Danio rerio: one gene and its partners. The main gene of each other region encodes a partner of the protein of the gene in region 3 in a complex. Links are inferred from orthologs where the notes say so. Each region holds a gene or a part of one and is shown on either strand. Other genes may lie near its edges. The genes, in order: anp32e, ruvbl1, ing3, mbtd1 and morf4l1.

The links.
Region 1: ing3 (region 3) and anp32e share a complex: the UniProt entries of both Homo sapiens proteins name them as parts of the SWR1-like complex. The link is inferred for Danio rerio from reciprocal best matches to the Homo sapiens genes ING3 and ANP32E.
Region 2: ing3 (region 3) and ruvbl1 share a complex: the UniProt entries of both Homo sapiens proteins name them as parts of the SWR1-like complex. The link is inferred for Danio rerio from reciprocal best matches to the Homo sapiens genes ING3 and RUVBL1.
Region 4: ing3 (region 3) and mbtd1 share a complex: the UniProt entries of both Homo sapiens proteins name them as parts of the nuA4 histone acetyltransferase complex. The link is inferred for Danio rerio from reciprocal best matches to the Homo sapiens genes ING3 and MBTD1.
Region 5: ing3 (region 3) and morf4l1 share a complex: the UniProt entries of both Homo sapiens proteins name them as parts of the nuA4 histone acetyltransferase complex. The link is inferred for Danio rerio from reciprocal best matches to the Homo sapiens genes ING3 and MORF4L1.

Annotation. Positions count from the first base shown.
Region 1 is NC_133194.1:45,170,993-45,176,376, reverse strand, and holds part of anp32e (acidic leucine-rich nuclear phosphoprotein 32 family member E), read right to left. Parts: intron 3,404-5,384; coding exon 3,281-3,403; intron 3,167-3,280; coding exon 3,004-3,166; intron 1,482-3,003; coding exon 1,354-1,481; intron 1,274-1,353; coding exon 1,219-1,273; intron 1-1,218. UniProt on the Homo sapiens protein: Histone chaperone that specifically mediates the genome-wide removal of histone H2A.Z/H2AZ1 from the nucleosome: removes H2A.Z/H2AZ1 from its normal sites of deposition, especially from enhancer and insulator regions.
Region 2 is NC_133181.1:43,388,074-43,394,191, reverse strand, and holds the start of ruvbl1 (ruvB-like 1), read right to left. Parts: upstream 4,685-6,118; 5' UTR 4,538-4,684; coding exon 4,397-4,537; intron 3,775-4,396; coding exon 3,688-3,774; intron 3,566-3,687; coding exon 3,433-3,565; intron 2,286-3,432; coding exon 2,134-2,285; intron 2,018-2,133; coding exon 1,928-2,017; intron 1-1,927. Other genes in the region: eefsec (selenocysteine-specific elongation factor), read left to right, coding at 5,272-5,563. UniProt on the Homo sapiens protein: Possesses single-stranded DNA-stimulated ATPase and ATP-dependent DNA helicase (3' to 5') activity; hexamerization is thought to be critical for ATP hydrolysis and adjacent subunits in the ring-like structure contribute to the ATPase activity.
Region 3 is NC_133179.1:11,168,822-11,174,788, reverse strand, and holds the start of ing3 (inhibitor of growth protein 3), read right to left. Parts: upstream 3,502-5,967; 5' UTR 3,368-3,501; coding exon 3,340-3,367; intron 3,211-3,339; coding exon 3,139-3,210; intron 2,265-3,138; coding exon 2,164-2,264; intron 1,220-2,163; coding exon 1,154-1,219; intron 893-1,153; coding exon 796-892; intron 520-795; coding exon 448-519; intron 369-447; coding exon 252-368; intron 1-251. UniProt on the Homo sapiens protein: Component of the NuA4 histone acetyltransferase (HAT) complex which is involved in transcriptional activation of select genes principally by acetylation of nucleosomal histones H4 and H2A.
Region 4 is NC_133187.1:35,465,534-35,471,535, forward strand, and holds the start of mbtd1 (MBT domain-containing protein 1), read right to left. Parts: upstream 3,507-6,002; 5' UTR 3,361-3,506; coding exon 3,340-3,360; intron 2,323-3,339; coding exon 2,121-2,322; intron 498-2,120; coding exon 364-497; intron 1-363. UniProt on the Homo sapiens protein: Chromatin reader component of the NuA4 histone acetyltransferase complex, a multiprotein complex involved in transcriptional activation of select genes principally by acetylation of nucleosomal histones H4 and H2A.
Region 5 is NC_133193.1:21,419,593-21,425,709, reverse strand, and holds the start of morf4l1 (mortality factor 4-like protein 1), read right to left. Parts: upstream 3,523-6,117; 5' UTR 3,340-3,522; coding exon 3,300-3,339; intron 3,227-3,299; exon of another isoform or gene 2,706-3,226; intron 2,358-2,705; coding exon 2,311-2,357; intron 100-2,310; coding exon 32-99; intron 1-31. Other genes in the region: rxfp3.3a3 (relaxin-3 receptor 1), read right to left, coding at 5,470-6,117. UniProt on the Homo sapiens protein: Component of the NuA4 histone acetyltransferase (HAT) complex which is involved in transcriptional activation of select genes principally by acetylation of nucleosomal histones H4 and H2A.

The DNA of each region.
Region 1 (5,384 bases), on a different chromosome or scaffold from region 3:
AACTAAGATTAATAAAAGCTTTTGTAGTTTTTCGTTGAGTTTGGTTTAATTAATGTTAGCTATTGGAGCCTTATTGGACAGTTTTAAAAGTACAAGAGGCTTAGAAATAGTCAGAATTTTCAATTAAATTTTCAGCAGTTTCAGACTGATAATTTCAGCTAGGTTAATGTGTAAATGTTACTAAAAAGATAAACAAGGTCTTTAAGCATGTGCTAATGTAATGAAAACTGCAAATACAATCAAAATATTCTTAAACAGCAACTTTAAGTAATAAATCATTATTCACAGTATCTTGAAGTATGATATGTCCGTTTTCATGATATAGTTTTACTGAATTCTGGCATACACTGCCTGACAAAAGTCTTGTCCCCTTTCCAAGTTTTAGAAAGAACAAATAATAACTTGACTAATAGTTGATCATTTGGTATCAGAAGTGGCTTAAATTAAAAGGCAAACGCCTAGAGATTACACTTATTTTACCACAATAAAATAGGATCATGCCTTGATTTTTAAGTATATAATATAAAGTCATGCTGCATTGGAAACAGAATGAATATTGTGCACGACTCCCATGAGCTTGGAGGACTGCATCCATACATCTCTGCAATGACTCAAATCACTGATTAATAAAGTCATCTGGAAGGGCAAAGAAAGCGTTCCTGCAGGACTCCCAGAGCTCATCAAGATTCTTTGGATTCATCTTCAATGCCTCCATCTTACTCCAGACATGCTCAATAATGTTCATCTCTGGTGACTGGGTTGGCTAATCCTGAAGCATCTTGACCTTCTTTGCTTTCAGGAACTTTGATGTGGAGGCTGAAGCATAAGAAGGAGCGCTATCCTGCTGAAGAATTGGCCCTCTCCTGTGGTTTGTACTGTAATGGGCAGCACAATTGTCTTGATACGTCAGGCTGTTGATGTTGTCATCCACTCTGCTGATCTCTCGCACGCCCCCATACTGAATGCAATCCCAAACCATGACTTTTGCTTCACCAAACTTGACTGATTTCTGTGAGAATCTTGGGTCCATGCGGGTTCCAACAGTTCTTTTGCAGTATTGATGATGATTGGGATGCAGCTCAACAGATGATTCATCAGAAAAATCCACCTACAGCCACTTTTCCAAATGATCAACTAGAAGTCAAGTTATTATTTGTTGCTCTTACAAGACTTTTTTCAGGTAGTGTACGTCTACTAGATAGCATAACTGATGCTTACCCTCGCCGCCTTCCTCCTCTTCCTCTTCTACGTAATCATCATCATCTTCCTCGTCCTTTTATCAAAGGAATGGAGTGTTAATAAGATGCATAGTTTAACAAAAGGAAAAAAAAAAGAAAGCAGCAGCTACATCACCTGGATGTCCTCTTTCATTAGATAGGACAGCCCAACTTCTCCACCCTCTGAACCTTCCTCATCCTCCTCCTCTTCTTCCTCGTACTCTCCCAGCTGCCCTGCTCCTTCGTCACCATCCTCATCATCGTCTGCATTAAGTGGTGGAAAAATTACATAACGCTCAATACTTTTCTACTGCACCATATGTGTGGCTTTTATTTTTTTGCTTATTATGTGAGTTTTTAACAGCAGATGTCGCTCAGACTAGTTTAACCATACGCTTAAATACAAGTGGAAGACGTTTACATTTAGCAGACACTTTGGTCCAAATCAACTTACAATTGAGGCATTCAGCGATTCAACAAGAGGAGGCAACACACACAAGTGCTAATTATACAAAGGAAAGAGCGCTGAACACATCAGCTTAGTCATGCAAGTCACCTGTAAGTCATGATATTAATGCAAACACTTCACGATGAACTTTCTTATAATTCACTTACAGCTTTCCTAAATTTATTAATGATAATTAAGGTTCATCTTGTATTTATTTATTTATGTTTTAATAATAATTCAACACTTATATAGCACTTTTTTAGACACTAAGCACTTTACACAAAGGGGGGAGGGGGAGAGGAGGGGACCGCACACCAGCTTATTGGTGGAGAGGAGACAGAGTGATGAAGCCAATGGTCTGGAGGACATGATGGACAGTGGCCAATTTTGGCCAGGATGCCAAGGATAAGTCCTAGTCTTTTTCGAAGGACATCCTGGAATTTTTTTATGACCAAAGAGAGTCAGGAAAACAGTTTATCGTCTCTATTGAAAGACTCAGAGCTCGTATAGAGTCCCCTTCACTATACTGGGGCATTAGGACCCACACAGACTGCAGGTTGAGCGCCCCCTGTTGGCCTTAAAACACCACTTCCGGCAGCAACCTAGCTTTCTAGTCTGGTCTCCCATCCAGGTAATAAGCGGGCACAGCCCTGCTTAGCTTCAGAAGGCAACCATGTGAGAGTTGCAGAGAGCTACCTGCCGGCATAATTTATATATACATATTATTATATATACACACACACATCATATATTATGCCATGGCAAGAACTGTACGAAGGAGGATCAACTGGTATGGGTAAGGAATTGGATTCAAGAATAGTGTGGCTGTTTGTAATCATACAGCGCCATCTGCTGTTAAAAACTAAGCTCAGAATACATTCAAGAGAGAGCAATGCAACTATGAAAATATTTGAATTGATTTTTTAAACAATTTTCCTCCACAGCTCTAGTTAATTATTCTTTTTTTTAAACTGTATATATGATATAATTGATTTTTAAGGCAACTAACCTTAACCTGCAAGACGTTTGTTTTTGTTTCTATAAATGTGTTTAATACCATGTCAGCATCAGAGGGTATATTCATTGCAAACTCAGAGGTAGTAACATATATAACACGCATATAACTACACAAAACCATTTAGCAAAACTATACACAAAGAAAACAATATCATTCTTATAAAATCCATTTATACGTAAAGACTTGGCTTATTGCTAAAAATAAATGAAAAGAATGTAACTTATTTATGTTTAAATGTCACGATGAACAAGAGCTTCAATGTAGCGCCTTAAAAAGCTTCGACCAATTGATTAAACTTCACCATGATTTGTGTTTCTTACCATCATCGTCAGCCTCCGAGTCTGGAGCTTCGTTGTCTTCAGCGTCGAAGCCGTCCAGATATGTGACCTGAGGCAGCAGCTCGAAGATGCTTTCCCTGTAGTCCTCCAACGTGGTGATCTCGCAGTTAAACAGGTCCAAGCTCTTCAGGTTCTTTAGGTTTTGCTGAGGATTGAAGAGTATGTCATGCCTCACTGATTACTTAACACCTCCAAAATATAGGATTTATTCAACAATAAGTCTATATGGTTTAAATGTATTATTATAGTGTGTATTTACCAGGGCCTCCAGTGTGCTGAGCTCTTTGATCTTGTTGCCACTCAAATTAAGGTAGGTCAGATTGGCGCATTTCTCAGCAAGAGTCTCCAGTGTCCCCGAGATGTTATTATCGCTCAACTCCAACTGGAAAAGACAGAGTCGCTTTAAATATGAACATTCAGTAATTCAGTTTCACTTTCACGGCATTTAATAAGCTCACTATAGAACAATGTCAAACATTGCCTGAATCAAATTCCAACCATTTACGAAATTAACAATGTTTGATAAAGTCTGTGAAGTGATTTTAAATGTGCGTTATATTTGATGTTTGACGTAATCTCAACCGAAAAAGAAAGAGAGGGTGGGACATAATGTAGTCCCTCCCCTTTTTTAAAAATAGCCAATCGCATTTTGTTTCATCACCACTCATGCAGTGAGTGGTTGAGCTCAAGTGCATCAAATGTGAAGCATCCTAAAGGAGGCGGGGCATGTCAGATACGAGAGAGCATTTGATTGGTTAAGATTTGATGGAAAAACTTAGGCCGCATTTACACGGCACTGTTCAAGTGAATCAATTCCGATTTTTTTCTCCCATGTAGCACAGATCGGATTTGGCCCATGTTCGTGTTAGCAGGAACAAATCACTTTGATTCTGATTTACTCAAAACAGATTCAGGCCTTGTTCATATGTGGAAATTTATCAGATATATATCGGATCTGTTCTAGTGTCTGCAGTGTGAGCAGGTGGATCGGATTTTCACCTGTCAATGCGAGTCACGTGTCATTAAAAACCGTAGCGAATGATGTCATGTCTGATGCTTTCATTTCAGAACAGACTTTAGTATAATCCCAAACTTTAAATCTCATACACGAGGACTTAAACAGCTTTTAAATTGTCATATAGCACGGGTATTTAAGCATGTTAACGAGAGCGAGAGAGCACAATGTCTGCTACATATCCATTATAAACTAATATAAAACTAGTGCATAGGTACATCACGTGCATAAATCCCGCCATGGACATCACATTAAGATGCCTAAAGGTTTAAAAAAGCCTACATATCAATATAAACTATATTGATATAGTTATAAACTATAGTAAAACAGCTCATCAAAAGCTGTGAACAGATTACATACAGGAATAGAGAAAAGAGCACTCTTTAATTATCAGCTGTTAGTCAGCGCCCGCTTTTTTTTCTCTCCTGGTCATTACGCCTGTAACCCCACCAGTTCTACACAACCTAACCTGCTCCGAGCTGATATTGAACCGGCGACCTTCCGCATGGGAGTCGGTTGCTCTAAAAAGGAGGCTAAAGACCATGGCCTCTAGCGTCTGTCGCTAGAGCACCTTAAGAGGTCAGAGGAGTGAGGTTTACCTGCACAGCTCTTACTAGCTGGCCTCTGTTACACTCACCCCCCTAAACCTCACTCCCATCTGGGTCACGGCACCAATGTAACACCGCCAGTCCTACACCACCCAACCCGCTCCGAGCTATGATCGAACCGGCGACCTTCCGCATGGGAGTCGGCTGCTCTAATAAGGCTGGCCTCCGTTACACGCCTTTGCTGTGTAAATGCAGACGATTGGATACGAGTCACTTTTAAAACATGATGCAAGCAGGTCATCAAAAAAAAAATCCGATACAGTCACAAAATCGGAATTGACCATCACGATCTGCAGTGTAAATGCAGCCTAATAGTGGAAGTGACAAACTACAAGCCTTACATGTTTATATTAGTTTTATATCTTCAAAACCGTGACAATTTGCGTTTTGAAACACGATAGCTTATAGATATCCTAAAAACTAACAATACTAACATCTAAAAAAACGTTCTTTTATTTCATGGGACCTTTAAAGTGATAGTTCAACCAAGAAATGAAAATTCTGTTATCATTTACTCATTCTCCACTTCATCTAAAGCTGTTTGAGTCTTTATTTCTTCTGTTGAACACAGATCTATTGAAGAAAAAACTAAAAAACAAAACAAGTATTTGGGTTTCTACTAAGGATGTCAATGGCTGCTTTACACCAACATTCCTCAGAATATCTTCTTTGGTGTTTTACAGAAGAAATGCATGTGTTTATAATCAATACAGTGCAAGCAAACAATGTGGAAAGTCACA
Region 2 (6,118 bases), on a different chromosome or scaffold from region 3:
TTACTCTAGTGTAGGTGTCAGAGACCTGACCTGGGCGTCACCTTCACCAAACTCCACTGCTGGACTCTTACAGATTTCTATTGTGATGCTATTATATTGTCATTCTGGCATTATATATATATATATATATATATATATATATATATATATATATATATATATATATATATATATATATATATATATATATATATGCAGGGTTCACACACATTTTTAATGCTAAAAATCCAGGACTTTTTCCAAAACTTTCAGGTAAATATTAAAGAGCTAATGTTTCAAGCAATGTCTAAGTACATGTGGTAAATCAGAAAAAATGTATGTCCAAATTTATTACAGCAAAATATTTGACCTTGATATTTGATCTATGTAGTTTGTTAATTTTATACCTGTAAAATAGTTTTTAGAAATTATCTTGTGTGAAAATTATTAGAAATGTTGGCTTGTGTCTTGACAAGACTTGTTGAATTAGAACAAAATAGCCTTTAGCACCCACATTATCTTACCTCTGTAGTTAGAGAAAGTAGCTGAAACTGCAAGTTGCTTTTTGCCCCACACAGAAAATGTCATGTGAAAGGATAAACATCGCGATTGTATTTGAAATTTACCCAATATCAACTCAAATATTCAAGTACACAGATATTTGTTCAACTAATTTTCGTGATTTGTCCAAATCATTTTGGGTTTTTTATTTTTCCAGGACTGGTAAATGTCTTGTCAAAATTCCATGACTTTCAGGTTTTGCAGGAGCGTATGAACCCTGTATATGGCATAAAATGGTCTTGAAATTACAATGATATTGTCTAATCGCAATGTATTTTGGTGCAATATATCGTACGACAAGAAAAATGGATATTGTGACAGGCTTAGTGCTGTGAGATTAATAATTATAATTAATACAATTAATATTATTACTATATTATGAGCCTATTGAAATGCATTTAATTGAGGAAACAAAAAATATATAATTTTTTATTATTATTATTTTGTTTTTATGACTTCAGTAGGATATAATAGTTATGATGCAGTAACATCACACAAGCAAAAATGACATTTTCCCAATTACCACACAAATGTTATATTAAAATTATACAATAGGTTAACAAACAAGGGGTTGCATTTACAGTTAGCTTTTAGTACTACCTGATTTGATTTGAACTACCAGGAAGATTTTGAAATCTGAATCTATTTTTGTAACTAATAACTAAACTAAAATTGTCCATTCACAAAAGCATTCATGTAGTTTCTAATTGAAGTGGCCATACTGAACATATTTTAATAAATGGTTCATGAATTCAGGTATTAAGACTTACCATTAACTACTGGTGATTTTCAGAAGAATATTTTTTTCCCAAGACAGGTCTAAACCAACACAAAACAAACTAATTTATATTGACTTTACTGTTCAATTATTGGTCACTAAAAAGACACCCCTGACTGGGATCAAATTTGAACAGTGTATTTACAAAGTTTCTAATTTTAAAATTGCATTTATTTAAACTTATTTTCCTTCAAAAATATGTTACTCATGTAATGGCGAGAATTTCCAGCATCATTACCGCAGTGTCACATGAACTTTCAGAATTAATTCTTATATGCTGATTTGGCACTCAAGAAATATTTATTTTATAGCTTAATATTTTTTCTTCTAATCTTTTTTTTTTTTTTTTTAGGATTTTTTTTAATGAACTTAAACTCCATTTATTTGAAATATAATCTTTTGTAGCATTATTATAGTCTCTTTTTCTTTGAATTCACTTAATTCATTCTTGCTTAATAAAAGTATTACGTTCTTTTAAAAATACGAGAGACAATCTCGTCCTTTATTCCACTGCCAGACTACCTGCCCACCTGTACTGACAAAAGATTACTTCAACATGCCAACTATAGAACCGCAGGAGAGAGAATAGCGAAGCATATCTGTCCATACCTTGACTGCCCCACTGTTAGCCTCGATGTAGATAACATCACCGACCTCCACTCTCTCCTTCTGCAGACTTTCATAGATGCTGGGATCCAGCTGCAGGAGAGATGAGATATGACTTCAAACAACCACATAATCAGCTTCCATCCAGCTTATCTACGAAATATAAGCATGCAGAAAAAAAACATAACAACATGCCTGCACTTCCTTACCTTCAACTGTTTGGTCCCCTTAGCTGTCTTCAAACCAATAATGACATGACTGATAGTTTTACCATAGCCTCCCATTGGGTTCTCAGTCTCACAAGGAGTCAGTTCAGTGACCTCTCCTTCATACACTTCTTTAGTCTCCTTGATACGCAGACCTGTTCGATCAAAAAACAAAACAGAACTTTAGATACTAGATTGATATAAACACTTTTAATAGTTTTTCGGTTTTACTGGCCAATACACTTTTACAAAAACCACATATTTCATTACGTAATAAAAAGCCAGAAGTGTATTTTCAATGGTTCATGCCATATATCTCTGTCAGCGTAGTAATAATGTGTGCATTCATGCATATCTCATTTGATCACATAGTCTACATTGTTTCAGAGTCATACTTGAGGGTTTCAGAGTTGAGGGTTGTGAACCAACTAGAAGAACAGTACAAGGTCATGCTCAAATCTATAGGAATACATAAAGGAAAATACAGATTTTACATGGCTTCTTTATTGTAGGGGTGTGTTATATCATCTAAAATAAAATGATATTCACTTAGTCCTGCTGTTTAATGACACGCTAGCTGACATTAATGCATGTTGCTCATTATAAAAACAAATACATATTCAGTCTAAACACTGCGGTTAAGCCTAGGACTATAAACCCTTTACTTCAAGTAAAAAAGCAAAAATATCAACAGCTCAAAAAACAGTAAGTTTACATTTCAAAACAAAAATACTGTGTTATTTTCAATTGTCAACATAATCAGTTCTGAACGGTCATACCAAAACATTTTACACATTTCAGAGCAACGATGGTATGCATTGTTCCAGAACTAATCTATTTTTAAACAAATCGAATGAGCCAAAGACTCGATTTTATATTAAAGACAGTCACTTGCTTCATTTTTAATTGAATCAGCAGTTTTGATTGAATTGATTTAATGATGGTAGGAATCACTCATTACGCAAGATAACGGCCAACAGCCTTTTTTGATTTAGATAAAGTATGTTTGAGATTTGCACATTTGTTTCATTAATGGCCCATATTTGTTTACCACGGCAAGTTGAATATTGCGTCTAAAATAGCATGCAAGGATGACTTCAAAACAATATTAGCACTATGTAATTGATTGAACAACGCTGTACTTTGATAGTCATTGACTGCTAATATGATTTCACTATTTAAAATTTGCAAAGAATACTTTTATGAAATTATATTATTAAGCAGAAAGTCTGAATGTGCGAATATATAAAAAAACTTTTCCTCTATCCTTTTTTGACAGGTTATGGTGGTGTGAGAGCTCACCTATGGCTCTTCTGAAGTTCTCCATCAGCACTTCGGTCTTCTTGATTTCTGATGAATAAACTTCGCTGCCCACCATAGGACAGAATGGCACTTTATTTCCCAACTCCTGTGCCATGGCCAGTGCTAGAGCAGTCTGTGGTGGATAGAAATCAAATGGGCAGACTATACATACTATCTTAAACAACAGCTCTGAAACTATTTTAATGTCCATTTTAATTATACAGTGCAGTGTAAATAAAACCAGTCTACCCTTACCTTGCCTGTTCCAGGCGGTCCGGCTAGCAAAATGGCTCTGCCAGCCATCTTTTTGGAACGAATCAGCTCAGTGATGATGCCACAAGCCTAACAAATATGCAAGAATTTTCTAGATGTTTATGTAACAGGATCAGTTTTTTTTTTTAAAGCCCAGGGCTAAACTACAGGCCAGAAAATGTCACATACATGAAAACATTATTTTGTTTAAAAAGTGTGATTAAAATATTCCATATATATATATATATATATATATATATGAAGAGTTCAGATGCAAAAACTTCTAAAAGCCGTCTGAAATGTTCTTCTAAAATAAACATTTTTATCAGGCTCCTGTTAGTAGGTTCAGTAATTACAAATTAAAGAATAATTAAAAAGTATGTTAATTTAATGATCTTTAAAGAGAAATAACTCATCAATAATCAATATAGAATGCTGAGATAAAAATGCTCAGCTTTAATGGAAGTTTCAGACGGTACTTAGAGGTTTTTGCATCTGAACTCTTCATATATAGCCTATGAAAGTATATGAATTTATCGTATTTACAATCAATTGTATCCAGCTCTTGACACAAGCAAATGAATTAGAAGTTTTGTATTTATTCTTCACATATAGCCAGCTACATACAAATCATTCGAGGTTATCAAATTAAAATGTTTGCTTTTCTTAATTAATGAAATAAACACGGAAATTGGTCTTTAGCTAGTGTTACCTCTCTGGCGCTTTCTTGTCCCACTAGCCCGGACGCGGACTGTTTAGCATTACCAGCCTCATCCAGACCGAGGCCCTTCACATGGCTATGAGAAGCGATGCGCTGCGTCTTGGTTGTGCTTTTTACTTCTTCGATCTTCATGTTTCTTAATAATTAATCGAACGCGCTGTGCGTGAATAAAACAACCACACGCCTGTCTCACGAGAGGCCGTTAAAATCAAACACAAGAGACCCGCGTTTCCATGAGGGTAACCAAGGCGATTTGAGGAAGTACCGTCCGCAAAACGTTTTTCAGTGGTTCTTTGTAACGATTGGTCAACTTGTGGAAACTCTGCATGACCATTGGACACTGCAACTGTCGGTCTGATCACTGTAAACCCGCCCCTATTCTTCGTGTGTGTTACATTTGAAATGTTGTGTTGGAACAAGGATCTACGCTGTGGGTTCCCATAAATAGTTTCTCTCAGAAGTGTAGATAACATAATATTTCCAAGGTGTAGATTATTTTTACTTTTAAACTAATTTATAAACAACTTTGTTCATGAGGAATGTTTCTTTTCTCAAACAAAATGCCGTGAGGCGGAACCAGTGATGTGAGATGCTGCCAGCTCAGGGATTGTTTTTTGGCAGCGCAGGAAGAGCAACTGTCAAATTTCTGAAAACTTTGCTGAATGAAGTAAGAGCCGAGGAATTTAGTTTACACTTTTATTTCTGATATCAAAGTTAATAAGTTGATATTATCAAAATTCATCAAATTACAGTAAGTTGGTTGTCTGACGACATCAAGCTGGTTGTTTTGACCAGCAGCGTCGCTGTCAGCAGTTCAAAGTCTGCGCATTCACTCTCTGTTACCCAACCGCGGTGTTGATCCAGAGATGACAGATTTTCCCAAAACACTGAACTTTAACGTCGGTGTCCTCGGCCATGTGGACAGCGGGAAAACATCTCTCGCCCGGGCGCTGAGCAGCACCGCATCCACTGCAGCCTTCGACAAGAACCCGCAGTCCAAAGAGCGGGGCATAACGCTGGATCTCGGCTTCAGTGCGTTCACGGTGCCGTTACCGGAGCACCTGAGGGAGTCCTGCGGGGAAAAACAATACGACAGTCTGCAGTTCACATTGGTGGACTGTCCAGGACATGCCTCCCTTATACGCACTATCATCGGGGGTAAGTGGGTGTATTTTTTTCAGTAAAGCAACAATTACACTAATAAAATTCACTTTGACGTGTGACTTCACGCCTTCTACGTACACAAAGCACTAGAAGTTACTGACTTACGTACTGACTTGTTTTTAATTAACTAACCAACAGAATAGTAACCTGTCAGGGCACTTTATAATCTGTGCAGCAGTACCACTTTTGATCAATAGGTGGTGTGTGTGCAGCGTTTGAAGATGCCATGTTAATCACTCTAAAGACAGAACAGACATTGTCAGGGAAAAAAATCTCACCCTCTTCCCAAACTAACAGGTACTACAATTTAATCGAAATATTAATATTAAATGTAATACACTTATTGTGTTAACTTGTACTCTAAAACACCTCCATGTACCTAAAGCTGAAATAAATGTCACTATAAATATGTAAATGTTTCCCAATGATGGGTTGCTGGAAGGCCATCTGCTGCGTAAAACATATGCTGGATAAATTGGCAGGACTAAGATGAAAAGAAAATGAATGAGTGAAATCTGTAGTTACAATGTTCACCCAACACACCTTACC
Region 3 (5,967 bases):
AGTTTAATTTTGATCATTGATAATAACACCACAAATTGTTTATCAAAAAGCAAATTATTCCTTAAATTATTTCTAAAGGATCATGTCATTCTGAAAGCTTTTTATTCCATAGTTTTTTTTTTATTCTTACCATACACAGAACACTGCAAAATAAATGTCTATGAAGAATTTCTTGGGTTCACCTGTGTTTATTTTTGTGTTGTGTCTGTTTTTACAGGCTGACCCAGGAGAAGAGAGCATGTGTGTTTTACCTGGTGTGTTTTCTTTAGTGGCGTCTGACGTGAGCGTGGAGAGCAGGGCCTCTGACTTAAACTTCTTTTCAGGTACGTGTTCAGTAGTGTGGTGGGCTGGCGTGCTGTATTTCCTCTCTGTCAAACGACAAGGAAAACAGGTCAGAGTACTGGAACCAAAAATTAGACAGAAGGTATTTTCTTGGAACAAACTTACTCTCCACTGTGGTGTGTGAATGTACGTGGTGGTTGTTGACAGGTTGAGAAGGGCTGTCCATCTCCAAAGACCCTAGAAAAGATAAAACTGACTTCACGAACAGCTTAAAAATGAGAACAAAGCTACAAGATGATTAGTTTACTAAAGCATGTCCAGACATTTTAAGATATGTGTATACTTTTCCTGAAGACAAGCAATCAGTTATTTTTGTTCATATTAAAAACATGTAGATATCATATTTCTTTAAATGATTTACACTGATTTTAAAAACTTGCCAACTCCTACCTTTTTTATCTTTTGAAATTAGCCAGTTATCTGTAAAAAAGGTGATTGAGAGGCGTCACTCACGTCTTTCCAGGATCTCTGTGATGCCAGCGTTATCTGCTTCCAACTCCATTTTAAACTTTGCCAACTCCTGATCCAACTTCCGTAAATGTCTATCAACCTACATAAGAGGCACAAGATCAACACACAACGGATTACACAAACCCACACACAAGTTCAAATGTCACTTCTCATTAGGAAAAATGTATTTAAAAACGTCTATTAAATCTCACGAAAAAGCATTAGTATGCATTTAAATAGCAAACAAAAAAGCTTCCCAGAAATCCATTGGCTTTTTACTATTAGTGATGTGCTGCCACCTACTGGGACCATACAGTACTGACACAAAGGCTAGTGTTGCTAGTTACAGTAAATTACTCACCAGGTCATAAATTTGATTGGCTAATTGGACCTTTTCATCCGCATCTTCTAAAGCTTTATAGTAGTCCTGGTAAACAGAAAGAGATCATTAGGAAAGCATATTATCTTCTAATGCAAAACTATCCATTATTAATTTTTTATCAATCATTGTTATGACTTAACCAGCAGTTGTTTCATCATGATTTCATCATTATTTCATCATTATGCAATTTAAAAAATAATAATGAAAATAAGGAAAATATTGAATAACAAATGAAATAAAAACAAAAAAATAATATATCATATCTTGCTAGTAACAAAAAATATGCACTGTCAGTTTCAGCGTAAAGATCTCATCTTATACATACAAACTTTATTATATCAGTTAAGCAAATGTTGTGCTTCACTTAGAATGTAGTTTAGATGTTTTATTAAATTAAATTGCAATATAATTTTTATTGTTCAATATATTTTGCAGCTGATTCCGGGAGTAAACAATATGGGTAACACTTCACAATAAGATTGCATTGGAAAACATTAGCTAATGCAATTACTTACTAACATTAACAAATAATAAGCAATATATTTATTACAGTATTTATTCATCTTTTTTAACATAAAATACAATTGTTTATTGCTAGTACTTGGTAACTCAGTTGATTAACTAATGTTAACAAGCAAAAGCATGGATTTTAATAACACATTACTAAACGTAGGACTATGATTAATTCATAATATGCAAATATTGTTCATCCTTAGTTAATGGTAATAAATAAATTAACTATACTGGAACTGTATTGTAAAGTGTGGTTGTAATATTTAATATCCATTCATTTTAAAATGTCATATATTGCTTTTCCCCCCCTTTTGTTTAATTTAAATTTTGAAAAGAGTCAATAAAAAGTGTCCAACCCAAAAACACTGATGGTTCAAATAAGGAAAAGCATTATCAACATTAAAAGATCTCATACTACATTATTATCACCTGCAGAACACTCAGTTCGACTGAAGTGCACATCATCTGTTCTTTACCTTTTTGATGATTTCCATCTGTTCTTCCCTCCATTCAGGCTTGTTCTTCTTGGCATTAGTAAAAAACTCATTGACCCGCTGCTCAAGCTGATCCATCGCATCTGAACAAAGGAACATGATCAAAAGTGAAGTCAAGAGCCCGACTTGGCTCACAACCACACAGATGGCGACTGTGGAAGTCTATGGTTGGTTAAAGATCTCAGTAGATCATTAAAAGGCTGTAGGTGCAACCCCTACAAAGGGTGATTCATGAATCACTGCTAAAGCTGTGGAAAAATATCCAGATCCCAATCACCACAAAATAAAATGAAATTATTTAAAACTATATAATATAAAAATATTTAACTGATGTAAATTAGGTTTATCTTAATTATAACTACAAAACTAGACTTGAATATACACATATAAACATTGATTTAATAATATTAGTCTTTCCTTATGATTTTGGTGGGAAATGTAACCGGGAAATTACATGTAATGAAAACTGTCTATAACATTTCCAAGAAGAAATGTCTTTGTGATAACTGTTTTGTAAAAATGATTTAATTAGAAATATATACATTTCTAACTAGAATGAGTACCTATGCATGTTTATGGTTGATGCAAAACCTTAATCTGTTAACAAATACATGCATTTGCTATAAGTAAACTGTGTTCCCGTGTGATGAAGACAATCAAAATCTTGTCAATGGGGGCACTGTCAGACTCTAAATTACTTGGGGTGACCAAAAAAATGCATTTCAATGCAATAATGTATCCTAAGTTTTCCCTGGTTTAGGTGACACTGGTGTTACTCAACTTCCACATGCTCTAATTGCACTTAACATCAGTGTGCAACATCACAACACATGCATGCTTTTATTATGCTTGCAAATTCACCAAACAGATCTCCACTGATATGAAAGGCTCTTTACGTTAGTTTAAGTCAGCTGTGGTGTTCTAAGGCACAAAAGTGAGTTTAAACTGAAACCGTACTCTGCACTTGCAGGTCCATCTCTCTCATTTCCGTAAACCTGTCGCGGAGATCCATGGGTAGCTGCTCGATCACTGCCGGGAAGAAGAACAACCGCGTTACAAGCTAACGGATGTGACAGCAAAACACGCCCTAAACCACCCTCTAAAACACCTACTTACGATAATACGAACATATATAGATAAAAGAGCTGTTTTACTCACTTTCGAGGTAGTCCTCAAGGTACAACATTCTGGCGGAGATGGTTTTTCGGAGGTTTCAGAGAAAGGGTGTTTTTCGGCAATATGGCGTCGCGGGCAGCGGAGAACTGAAGGGGAGGAAAAAACACAAGCTGGCGGGGGAGGGGCTTACGTGAAGGGCGTGGGATCTGATTGGACGATGGTGGAGTTGCGCGGAAGCTGCACTCTTTATGAAAATCGTTTTTATGGAACTTGTAGTTCTTTCAGTTGAAACTACGTCAAGCGCATTGTGGGATGTCCAACGCAATCTGCCTTTTGTAACTTTTAGTACTTTGTACATTTTAGTACGATTTGCTCATCTCCCAATAAGAGGTAGGTATATATATATAAATAAATAAATAGATAAATAAATAAATAAATAAATAAATAGCCATTTTCGTTCTGTTCTAAACATACTTGTTTACATTAGATATTATATCACGTAAATATAATTGTTTAGACACAATTGTTTAACAGATAAATTCATTTTTTAAATAAAACTGACATAACAGAAACGTTCAATCTTTAAGAAAATAAAAAAGCATATAAAGCAAATAAAGTAACTAACATGTAAAATTAAAGTAAATTTCCACAGAGATAAAGGCTATATCATTTATTGGCCACATAAACATTACTTAAACATATTTCACTGATTTTAAGACAAAAACTTGTAGATTATTTTATAGTAGCATTCTTTTTGAATACATTTTCATTTACAAAAGAATGATTATGTATAACATGAAGAGAAAGATGTAAATGATAAATAAAGCATGCAGAGTATAAAACATTGCAGTAATACAATCAAAAAAGTCAATTTTACACTAATAATTGTTTCAAGTACATTTTACATACTTTTGAAATATATGTTTTATCATTAGAAAATCTGTAGTTTAATTTGTAAATCAGGTATGTCCAAACTCGGTACTGGAGGGCCGGTGTCCTGCAGGATTTAGCTCCAACTTGCCTCAACACACCTGCATGGATGTTTCTAGAAAGCCTAGTAAGAGCTTGATTACCTAGCTAAGGTGTGTCTGATTGGGGTTGGAACTAAACTTTGCAGGACATCGGCCCTCCAGGATTGAGTTTGGACACCCCTGTTGTAGATCAGTAGCAGTGTTAAAGAAGTTACTAAATTGTATAACTTATAGAAATAATTCAAATGTTTTGTGTCTCTTAATTTTGTATCCTCATGGTTATTAGAGACATAGAAGACTAGTTTGAAGACTGCAGGTTTAATGCAGCTTTGGCCTTTGGAGGGCAGCACTGACTGCAATATTTAATGACAGTTCTGGCAACTTAGTGCTTCTGTCTGTGTGTAAGAGGCTTTTGCACAACAGTGGAAGACAATGTAACTGCCCAGCTGTCTCTGGAGAGGAAGAAACCTCAGCCTGACCCCACGTTTATTGTAGACAGTTATGATTTGGTTCAGTCGTGGTGTAAGAGGCTTTTATAAAACATCCCATTAAAACCCTTTATTTCCAAGACAGAATTACCGCACAGCTGTAGACATGAACTGTTCTGCAAAGTGACATTGCACCTCTGCGCTCAATTTAGATCAAATAAAAATATGCTGGAGATCATAAACAGGAAACGTGGCTCCTCTGATGACTGTTCCGTCTGCGTTTGTGGCCGTTTCAAAGCTATTTCTGGTTGTCTTTTTATATTTCTTCTCATCTGAGTTTCCTGGTGCTATATTTGCACACTGGAATATCAAATAATATCAGTCAGCATTAAGGATGCTCCGAATAAAACAAGGCTGATTGTATTGGTTTGGTGTACTCTATATACTACCTGACAAAAGTCTTGTCAGCGGTCCAAGTTTTAGGAACAACAAATAATAACTTGACTTCTAGTTGATCATTTGGTATCAGAAGTGGCTTACATAAAAGGGAAAGGCCTCTAGATAACACTTATTTTACCAAAATAAAATATGATCATGCTTTGATTTTGAATTATTTAATGAAGACAATAAGGTCTGACTTTGCTTAAACAAAAGTCTTGTCACTTAACAGAAATAATGTACAGTATAGAATATAAAATCATGTAGCAGTGGAAAATAATTAATATTGTGTATGACTCCCATAAGCTTGGATGACTGCATATATAAATCTCTGCAATGACTCAAATCACTTATTAATAACGTCATCTGGAATGGCAAAGAAAGAATTCTTGCAGGACTTCCTTTGTATTCGTCTTCAATGCCTCCTCATTCATCTCATGCTCAATAATGTTCATGTCTGGAGACTGGGCTGGCCAAACCTGCAGCACCTTGACCTTTTTTGCTTTCAGAAACTTTAATGTAGAGGCTGAAGTAAGAGAAGGAGCATTACCTTGCTGAAGAATTTGCCCTCTCCTGTGGTTTGTAAAGTAATGGGCAGCACAAATGTCTTGATACCTCAGGCTGTTGATGTTACCATCCACTCTGCAGATCTCCTGCACACCCCCATGCTGAATGTAACCCCAAACCATGATTTTTCCTTCACCAAACTTGACTGATTTCTCTAAGAATCTTGGGTCCATGTGGGTTTCAATAGGTACAATTTGTGTTCTGCAGATCTACAGATGATGAATTGGAAGAATCTACCTCCTGCCACTTTTCCAAATGATCGATAA
Region 4 (6,002 bases), on a different chromosome or scaffold from region 3:
GACAAATATGAAACATTTTTTTCTCTCTCATCTGTAAGTTTACCCCCTAAAAATCTAGTTTATATGTAATTTTAATAATGTATGCACTACCATAAAATTATCCCAAACATTCTGAAATTCTTCACAAAAAGTGAGTCAATCCATCTTGTAAAATATATTTCATATCGCAATGCATATCATTTAAAAACTGAATATTGCAATGTCAATTTTTTCTAAAATTGTGCAGCCCTGATATTAATCATATGAGTGCTCCCAAAAACAAGTCGAAATAAGTCAGAGGTGTCTTTATGAAAACCTAACACAACACACATACTACAACTAGCTGGAAACTGCAATTTGTCTCAAAGTTAACACCCATGTTACCTGAAGTCTTGCCAGTATACTGGCCTTTTTAGAATTGGAGGAATAGCTTCTGGAACAGGACACGCTGCAGAATCTCTTCGTTTTAGAATAGAAAGCATCTCGTACACCAACCATACCACACATCTCACAGGTTGCTGCATGAGAGGGAGGAGGAAAAAAAAAGCATATTTACACCACTGAACATATTTATTCTCAACAACAAACCAGTAAACAAGTAAACAGGGCACCAAATACAATTTCTCATTAGAAACAATACTGTACCGTTTCTTTTCATAACATTGCTTGTGTCAGGTTTAAAATTAGGGATGTGCAATATGACAATATATGGACTAAATCAAACGTTTATCGTTTCATATTATTCTCTATCTTTTATTTCACGGTGGCACTACAGTAATACTTATAATTCATTTGACCGCAATTTTACACTGCATTATGTGGAAGCAGACATAAACATGAATAAAAGCATCATGAAAAAGTTGCAATATTGAAAGTGCAACGTCTACATTTTGCAATATTTTATGTTAGGCCTGCATTCATCTTATTTTTCATTAATTTTCATTTTATATTACTTCATTCCTAAAAAATTTGCCCTGAAGTTCTGAAAAAAATTAAAGATATGATCACATATAAATAAGAATGAATTACATTTTAACAGAGTATATCCCTTAAAATGTAAAGAAAAAAGACATTTCCTTTCTATTTAGTGAATGTTTATTAGGGATGCACCGATAATATTTTTGGCCGATATCCATAACTGTTGAGATTTGGAGGCTGATAACCGATATATTAAAGCCGATAAATATAAATATTTCAAAATTTGATATTTTTATACAGTGAACAGCTGATTTTGTTTTTAAAAACTTAATAAAAGTTTGAACTGATATTTGAATAGCCTACTTAAAGCAATAAAAGCAATAATTTCAAAATTGTAGGTGATTATATAGACCTATATTTATGATTTCACATAAATTAGCATGCCAAAAATAAATGATTTCCTTTTCTTTGCATAGCAAATTAACATGCAACTTGACTGTTGCATAAAAATAATAGGTTAAATAACAAAACAAGATTTAATTAACAAACAAGTTAAATAAATAGTAAAACGAAAATGAAAGAACACAGAACTGAAAACAGCGCAAATGTTCTTGAATAAACCGTGGTTTAGTAATGTACATATGTAGAACTATGCAATGTCCAAAAAAGCATTTTGTGAGGTGTTTTGACAGTTCAGAGCAACAGTACAAGCAAAAAGATAATACAGATAGACAGTATGTTTTACTTTAGAAAAATCGGCATAAATTCATCCTATTTGGCGTTTTAGATTCTTTTGAACATATAGACGCTTCTTGTCAGACGCTTTTATGATCATTTTTGCTGTCAATAAAAAATGTGAGGAAAGCTTCATTATAGTGCACTGGACAGTTTTGACCCACGCATTCTCGAGGCAGGCAGTTCTGTACAATTACGTAATCTATCAGCTTAAAGATATATGCCTAATTTTGATATTGGATCGATAATAATAACATTAAAAATAGCATTTAACGCCCTATAACAATATGGCCACCGATATATCGTGCATTCCTAAATGTAGATAAACTATTAATTAATTGAATTTAGAAAAAAGATGTATATATCTTGCCATATATCTTTAAGAATATGTGATGACTTTTATCATGATATAGGATTGTCATATCGCCCAGCCATAATTTAAATAATATTTAGGTATGTTTTTTGACTTTTGTATCCACATGACTAACCCATTCCTGCTTTCCCGTCAGGATAGGTGTACACCTGGCCATTGTTTTTGATGATAGGCAAACTGGCAGGGATGCTGGGAACTTCATCTTCACTGTCCTCCGAGCTGGAGCTGCTACTGCTGTCTTCACTGCAGCTGTCATACCCGTCAAACATCCCGAACGAATCTCTCCTCTTCCGCTCTGAGCGGGGAGTGTGCTCAGCCTACATGTGACGAGGTGAGACAAAAAAAATGGAGAATATTAAAAAGAGAGAGAGAGAAGGAAGGAGTAATGTTAAATTAAAGTAAGGGCAAAGAAAGACAAAAGGATTACAGCTCTCTTGCACAACCATAATACTTTAATAAATGACCACCTTTGACATGATACACCATGATTAATATTGTAACTAGTAATAACCACAATCTTTAAAAGAGGGAATTAGGAGGCGGCTCAAATCACATTATTAAAATTAAAGGCTTCCAAGGGTCACAAGAAGCAAATATCATGTACAAAGCACTAAAGATTCTACACAATTATCTCAAGCCAGAATATAAAAGGCGCATATATATATATATATATATATATATATATATATAATTTAAATTTGCTGCATTTTGAGAAATTACATATTTATATTCATCAATACTTCAACACTAGACTGTAGAAGGACTCCAATACACTGTGACCTGATTTCAGAATGAACATTTTGGGACCTTTTCTTCCCCTGAAAGAGTACCATTTCAATTCTCATCTCCTAACATTCAATTTTACCACAAATTAATGCTGTTATTATCCCTATTAACTACAAGTGAATGATTTTAGGTCATATTACAAGCCCTCACAACACAAACAGGCACATACGCTTATCTTAAGCCCTAGTAAGATGCCTGCTCGTACATAACAGCTCGTGAAAACGTTTTAACGCATATGCGAGCCTCGTAAAAACTGTGTGTTGGGAAACAAACACAAACATTTCCACATTCATTGGCCTGCGGGTCTATTGCAGCAGCACAAAACATATACATTACCAACTGTATTAGCACCATTTAATAAGACAGCTTATTTGAATGAAATGTTATATGGCATAGAAAGAATTACGAGTGATTCGAATGAGGTAAACGCTGTAGTTTGTGTGACGAGCAGGATCTGTTTCTGACAACCAAAACAAAGAGGACGGCTAACTGCTAAGCCGCTAACTGAGCTAAATCAAGGAAGCGGGCTCAAATAAACTCTTTCTTACCATATCCCTTGGGTTTTCCATTAGCCCTTCATGCAAGTCGGTATCTTACGTTTGTTGTGGTATGATCCGACAGCCCCCCGGAGGGAAAGGGCCTGGCTTGAAATTATTTTACTCTATAGCAAAAAATAACTCCAGTTGATTATCAACAATTGTCATGGCTCGAGAGTGCGCGTGCGCAGGGATCTACAATGATTGACATATGTTTTAGCCAATCACCGTTCACGTGTTCGGCACATTTACCCCATATTTGGTCACAGGAAATGTTTGAGTGAGGGAGAATGATTACAGATCAAATAAAATCGGATTTAGTGGTGGGAATAGCAGATTTATTGACCCTAACATTAAAATAGAATGTTTACGGTCATAGCTTAAAGGCAATATAATTTAACAGGTTGTAACAATGGTAGCGACGATAAATGTAAACAGATATTTGTTACAGAAATGCTAAGATTCCTGTAGGATGTAAAATTCATGGTATTGCTTTCTTCTACCAGAAACGTACATTATCTGTCTCTGAAATATAAATATAAACATAAATACAGTGGATAAAAGTATTTCATCCCACAAATGTCTAAAATGGACTGATGGTTGATTTCTGTGAGTTGTTCTGTAAATGAATGTCATTCTTGTCAGATTATTTTTCTTTATTAAAAACACTTTACAAATGTACAAACCCTGTCATTGTCCTTGTACTCAGCTCAATTTAACCTACAGCTTTAACAGTTTTGTTATGCTAAAAACTGTTATTTAAAAGTTTAAGCTGTGATCATTCACATCAATTGATTAAAAAAAACATGAAATTATAAATTCTACAAATACATACTACAAATATTATGAATCAAAGAAATGTACAATTGTCCCCATGTTTCTGTCAGTCCAGTCACATCTGCATCAACATAAAATTCCTTTAAGGCTATGACATCGAAAGTGACATCATCTGATGGAGGAGAAGCTGAGTGCGATCAAGGATGCGTTCCATCATTGAATTCTTATGATTTTATACTTGTTTTGTATGATTTTTTTGAGGGCGACAAGCTTGACAAGCCCAGTCACATTTTTATAAGTGGATTTTTCTAAGCATGATAGTTTTATTAACTCATTTTATTTTATCTTTGCCATAATGACAGTAAATAATATTTTGCTTGATGTTTTTCAGGACACTTCTAAGTGACATTTAAAGGCTTAACTAGGTTAATAAGGTGAACTAGGCAGGTTACGGTAATTAGGCAAGTTACTGTATAATGATGGTTTGTTCTGTACACTATTGAGAAAAAAAATTAGCTTAAAGGGGCTTATAATTTTGTCCCAAAAATGGAAAATAAGACTTTTTCCAGAAGAAAAAATATTATCAGACATAGTGTGAAAATTTCCTTGCTCTGTTAAACATCATTTGGAAAATATTTAAAAAAGAAAAAAAATCAAAAGGGGGCTAATAATTCTGACTTCAACTGTATATCATGGCCCTCATATGTATTTCTTTTCTAACATTGAAATTGCTGTTACTATGTAAAGGATTTAAATAAAGTAATACACAGTGAAGCAGTGAATTAGGATATATTACATATGTTTAAACTTAGCAAGCCCAAATACATTTTATGAAATTTTATAATGCATAACAATCACTCCCAAAAAAGGTTTAGTCTGCAATTTTCTGAACACATAAGGACCCCATTATTATTCTATTTATCACTGTATGTTCTTATAAAATAGAGCTAAATTTTCCTTTTGGCTGCAAATTTTCCCCTTGTTGTCTGCTATTATTGTTGATATTCCACCTTGTCCAATTATTTGTTTATTGGGGTTCTCCCACCCGGCCCTCTCATTTGGTAGACTTTATAGCATCTTAACCCTTCTGGCTAGGCGATTAATTCTTCTGAATTGGACGAGCCCTTACCCCCCTTCTCGCACTTGTTGGATAAGAAATGTTCTTTATTTTATGAAGTTGAAGAAAATTAGGTAACCTCTTCACCGACCTAACACTATATTCATTAAATCGTGGGAACCCCTTCACAAACATGTCCAAACTCTTCAGCTTGACCCTGCTCCTTCTGATTGAGTCCCCACCCCCCAACTCGGTACTGGATACTAGCTCTGTGCAGGGCATTGTAGACTTTTTTTTCTGTATGTAGGATTGTCTAGTATTTTTTTATTTATTTTTTTATTTTATTTATTTATTTTCTCAAAATTCTCTTCAGTTTATTTGCCTATTGTGACACGTTTATGTTGTTCTTATTGTATATTTTTGTTATGTGCTTTACAATGTATAAAATATTAAAATATATAATTATTATACACATACACACACACAACCTATCTCTAACTTTAGTATCCATCTCTCTATGATTAAACAAAACGTTATAGCCCACAATAAAAAAAATATTTTACACAAAAAACCAAGAAGTTTAATCAATAATTTTGTACATGAAGCTGACTGCCTTGATATTATTTATGTGCTTGGTGTTAAATTATTAATTCAGTTATTAATGTACTCCACAATGGTTGCGGTTAGTCTGTTTTCTTTAAATACAATGAAAGAGATATCATCCATGTTTCCTGCATTGTTGTCAGTGCCTGCTGATTTCACTTTACCCATAACATCTTGCATAATTTACAGCAGCTTTTGTATAACTGTACTTCTATTTTAAATAGAACTGAAACATATC
Region 5 (6,117 bases), on a different chromosome or scaffold from region 3:
TTAAGTGAGCATTTTAAATACACAGACTTACTTCTTATTCCATCCACTGTAATGAATAAAGTATTTCACTTGTTTGTCCTTGATATTGATTTTTACACACTGTAAAACATAAAAAAATACATGATTAATGAATCATCTTTCTGACATCTTTGGAGAAACAACATTTAAACTATCTTTCACAAACAAAAAGAAAATATCATGATGGCAATATTGCCCAAAGGTATAGCTCTTTAATAAAAATCTAAATAGGAATAAAATAAAAATCATTTAGTAAAAGGAAAAACCTAAAATTACACAAAGTTAACCCTCAACTGCACGCATCATGATAGCTCTATAAAAAAAAAAAGTATTTGACTGTTTTTCTTTTCTTGGATTGGCTTAACTTGAAGTGCTGCAAAAAAGATCTGGGGAAATGAGAAGTTGAGGTACTTTATGATATGCTGCGATATGACAACAACATCCATTAGTGGATCTAACTTTATTTAAAATGTAGAACTTTCCTTATGAATTATAATTTTGTTGTTTGAAATTATTTAATTGGTGTTGCAGAGTTAAAAGCTTTAACACAGAACTTATAAATGACACCTTATACGGTTGAATTTAGAATTATTAAACCCCCTTTTATTTTTTCTTTATTTTTAAAATATTTCCCAAATTTTGTTAAACAGAGCAAGGAAATTTTCACAGTATGTCTGATACTATTTTTTCTTCTGGAGAAAGTCTTACTTGTTTTATTTCGGCTAGAATAAAAGCAGTTTTAGATTTTTTTAAAACAGTTTTAAGGTCAAAATTATTAGCTCCTTTAAGCTATATTTTTTCAATAGTCTACAGACCATTATTATACAATAACTTGCCTAATTACCCTAACCTGTCTAGTTAACCTAATTAACCTAGTTAAGCCTTTAAATGCCACTTTAAGCTGTATAGAAGTGTCTTGAAAAATATCTAGTCAAATATTATTTACTGTCATCATGGCAAAGATAAAATAAATCAGTTATTAGAAATGAGTTATTAAAACTATTATGTTAAGAAGTGTGTTAAAAAAAACATACTCCATTAAACAGAAATTGGGGAAAAAAATAAACAGGGGGGCTAATAATTCTGACTTCAACTGATATTCCAAAACTTTTTATTTAGTCCATTCTTTTTAACATAATATTGTATTATCATGTAGACAACATACAGAAAGTATAAATATATCCTCTAGTAAATATTATAACAAATAAATAAGTCTAAAATATTCAGATGCATCAAAATAAACTTTTGCTACCAGCAAACTATGTTTATATATTAAACTATATACTTTACTACATCTGTCTTATATACACCTCTGAGCTAGCTAACTTAAACTGACTTCATCACTGCTCTTATCAAATGTCCAATCTGCATTATTCTCATTGTCACCATCTCATCCTCACGTTCATCTGTGGGAAGAGCCAGTTGTGTCCTTTTCTTCTTTCACTAACTATAGAACATTGTGGTCCTCACTAATACACTGTTCCTTGTATTTATATCTAATCAAATGCACTGCCATTAAAATTAGATTTAACCATAAAGCAAATGCCATTAACATACAACTAATCAACGTTATATTACTAGCATTCATGTTGTTATTGTTACAACTTTAAAGACCACAGCTGAGCTGACCTAGCTAGCTAATCTATCGCAATATCGCACATTCCTCTATTGTACAGCATTTCCATTTGCTAGCACATACATTTGATCGACTTACAAAATGCTAATTTGATCAAAATCTTTTTGAGTTGTGAATATGTCATCATAACTTATTGGATGTGATGTCTCAGATTTTGTTTGTGGATCTGGCATGGGTTGATGCTTTGATTTTATTGACTTTTTCATTTGCTTTCAGCAACTATTCAAAATAAACGCCAGTCTAACAGAAACCAAGCCACAGAAAAACACTGCACGTCATGTGACTTAACCGAAGCACATCATTGGCTACACTAAGGTCTTCTCTTTCCAATAACCACAAAAAAACAAAAAAAACAAACAGAACGTTGGTCTTAAAGAAACACTGGCAGAAGAAGAAGAACAGTGGCACTGGCAAAAATTAACGGTATTATGTTGCCATATGGCAACACCATGGGGTAGAGGGCTAACTATACAAAAACAAATCCCTTTACTTGACACAGAAAACAATACCAAAGCATTAATATGATAAACAAAACCACTACAAACACATGACTACATTTACACTATAAATGTAATGCCATTCAGGTACTGCTTTCAGGAAAACAAATATCAAAAAGCCTTTTGAAGCATGCATAATGGCATGAATGATTCAGGTACCTTAGCTTCGTATAGCAATGGCCCATGAAAGCACAGCACTCGTTCACCTGAAAAAACATCAGAAATATTAATATACAATGACATCCACTAATGGGCTAATAAATAAAATAGAAGTGTTACATATTCAAATATGTGTGTGGGCACAGAATATTGTACTTTCAGAAAATGCCACAACAAAGAAATGTTTTAAATGTATAGTAGATTTATAACAGTCTGCAGTATATTTACCATATTGTTTGTTTGAATCATAATTAAGCTCATTATAACCAAAATATAATTAGCATTTTCAATACACAATACTTAAACAAACGAGAAATACGCACATTTAAAACCTGCTTATATAGTCAAACAATACATCAAATCTGACTGTTTACTTGACATATGCGTTTACTTACAATCACCAACAATATTAACTCATATTAGAGTCCCAGTTCAGGAATCAGATTCAGAATAGAACACTGTTCTAAAGATTCGATTCTATAGAACGATTCATTCAGTTATCAAAAATTGCTAATGGTCATTTTAATGCAATAATATAGCCTTTCTTTGCTCATTATCGACTTCAGTTTTAGAACAGCTCCGAGCTAACGTCGTTGTTTTTACGCTTCAAATAAGTAAATGACTGTTCCCGCCAGGACTTCAATACTGCAATGGCCGCTTCCTGTAAACAAGGCCTGCTGTATGCTAACGGCTACATCATAGACAACAGCTAATGTTTTGTTTCAGGAACACGCCGCTGTGTGCGTCTGCAGAGGCTGTCAGATGCAACGAAAAGCACCAACGTGCGATCATGCACTCGCTTGACAGGTGATGAACAACTCTGCACAAGTTAAAGGCGGCAACTCTCAGCTAAAAAGTGTTTTGTAACAGACAGCTCGCCGTGCGCGCGCGCCATTGTGCAGCGGCAGCGCCCGCTTCCTTTGCACGGCAGAATGAGAGGATCCCCGATCGACGGGTGACTCTCGTGGATGAAACAAAGCGCATCTTACCTTCTTGAAATTTAGGTTTAGGGTCCTGTTTAGGCGCCATTCACAGATTAAACAATAAAAATAGCTGGAAAATCAAATCCAGGCATTGCCAGCTCCGATTTAATTCACGCAGGGTGAAGGCGCCGCGCTGCGTTCCTATGACGCACTTTACTGGCGCCCTTGTCAGGTGACTCTCATAATAAACAGCGTTTATCCAGCAGCCCCTGTTGACGAATGACAGAAGTTGTGCTCTACTCACGGCAATACATGTAAATAAGTGCATTTATGCAGATATATTTCAACGTTACGCCACGCCTCTTCTATAATTTATGTTTTTATTTCTTGTTAAAATTTAAAGGGGTAGCTGCACCAAAAACAAAACAATTGAGGTTATGCAAGGTGTACACGACTTTTGTTTATATATATATATATATATATATATATATATATATATATATATATATATATATATATATATATATATATATACATATATATATATATATATATATATATATATATATATATATATATACATATATATACATACATACATACATACATACATACCATACACACAGTTCTCAGCATAAATAAGTACACCCCTCACAAATCTATCTTTTAAATTCATATTTTTAATAGGAATCTATACTATATTAGTCAGTACTGAAGCAAATCTGGAGCCTATCTAACAAAATAACTTACGATAACAGTCCAAAAATAAGTACAGCCAAATTTATGTTATAGAAAAAAATATTAAATGCAAATTTAAGAAAAGAGAAAAATAAATAAATAATATTTTTTTTATAGGTTGTAAGTTTTTTTGGGGCCATATTTTGCTTGAATTTAATTGTATTATCTTTAAAAAAATTTATGTTTGGTGACTAAAATATTATTTCATTAAATAAATTTGTTTAATAAATTTGTTTCGTTTAAATGCACCACAATACATTGCCTATATTCACTGACAATTGGATACACATATGTGTGTACTTAATTATGCTCAGCACTACACACACACACACACACACACACACACACACACACACACACACACACACACACACACACACACACACACACACACACACACACACACACACACACACACTTTTAAGTCAGAATTATTACACCGGCCCCTCCGGTGTAATATCTTTTTATTATAAAAAGATATTATCTTTTTATAATATTTCTAAATTATGTTTAACAGAGCACAGTATGTCTGATTATATTTTTTCTTCTGGAGAAAGTCTTATTTGTTTTATTTCGGCTAGAATAAAAGCAGTTTAAAATTTATTATGTATCATTTTAGGGTCAAACCTATATTAGCTCCTTTAAGCAAAATTTTTCAGACTGTGTACAGAACAAACCATCGATATACAACAACTTGCCTAATTACCCTAACATGTATAGTAAACCTAGTTAAGCCTTTAAATGAGCTAAGCTGTATAGAAGTCTCTTGAAAATTATCTAGTTAAATATTATTTGTCACCATGGCAAAGATAAAATAAATCAGTTATTAGAAATAAGTTATTAAACTATTATGCTTAGAAATTTGTTAAAAAACAATCTTCTCTCTATTAAATGGAAAGAGAATTACAATCAAACCTGAAAACATTAACCAGAAACAAAAGTGCAACACATCAAGGTTTCCTTCATTTGTTCGTTTGTTCAATCATTGATTTCAGTGTGCCACTCCAAGGGTGGCCCCAGACATCCAATATTACAGGTGGAGTGGCGTACCATCCATCCCACATATAAGACAGAATTTTTAACTAATCAGCCACTATTCTTAATTGAAGCTTGATACATTGCTATTGAGTGTTCAGCAGTTTCTTGACAATATAAACCTCAAGAGGAAATTTAAACGTTTTTTTTCCTTGTGACAATTATATTCTTTGTATACCATTTGATGCAGGATTTATCCCATTGCGCATAGTAATTATATGAAATTATAGTCAGAATTATTTATTATATCAATATTTATTTAGAGGTCAACCTTATTGTACAATAAATAGTGAAATATGCAAAGAGAACACATTTTGTTTTAATAGTCATTTTCACACATGCATGCATTTAAAAAGATTCAGTTTGGTCTCAAAATAGCACCCGACGACATATGCGTACATAATTTAATACTTTAAATAAAAACAATACATCATCGTGTGATATTTACACGCAGTTGTGCCATTTATGCATGCCTGCTGGACTTCTGTAGAGAGCTCTTTAATAACCAGGGGGCAAAAATGGACAAACATTTTTTCAGTTTCTTCCTCAAAGCTCTTCTCGTAAGACAATATATAAAAGGATTTAAGCAGCTGTTAGTATGAGCCAAACAAACAGTCACGGGGAACACATAGGTATGGACAACATAATAAGCCTCATCCCAGCGAATCGCGTTCAACTTGACCAGAACACCCCAAAATGTAATCGCGTGGTTGGGCATCCAGCAAAGGAAGAACGAGAGAATGACCACCGTGATGGATTTGGTGACCTGGATCCTGCGCCGGGAGTGAATGTTTTTTATATTGCGCTTTCTCACAAATCTCAGAAGCAACAAATAGGATATGGAAAGAATCAACATGGGCAGAACAAAAGCGACCATGATTTTTTGCAAGTGATAAAAAGCTAGCCAGTATTGTCCCGCAGGAAACTTCAGCAAACAGAGCTTCTCTCCGACCACACTGGTGACCGTGGAGAAAATAGACGTTGGAGCGGTGGCGACTGTAGCGAGCACCCACAAGAAGGTGCAAACCCATTTTACAGAGCCTGATGCTGGTGGTCGGATCCTGTTCTTGCTGGCCGAAGCCACGGATAAATATCGAGTGATGCCCATTGC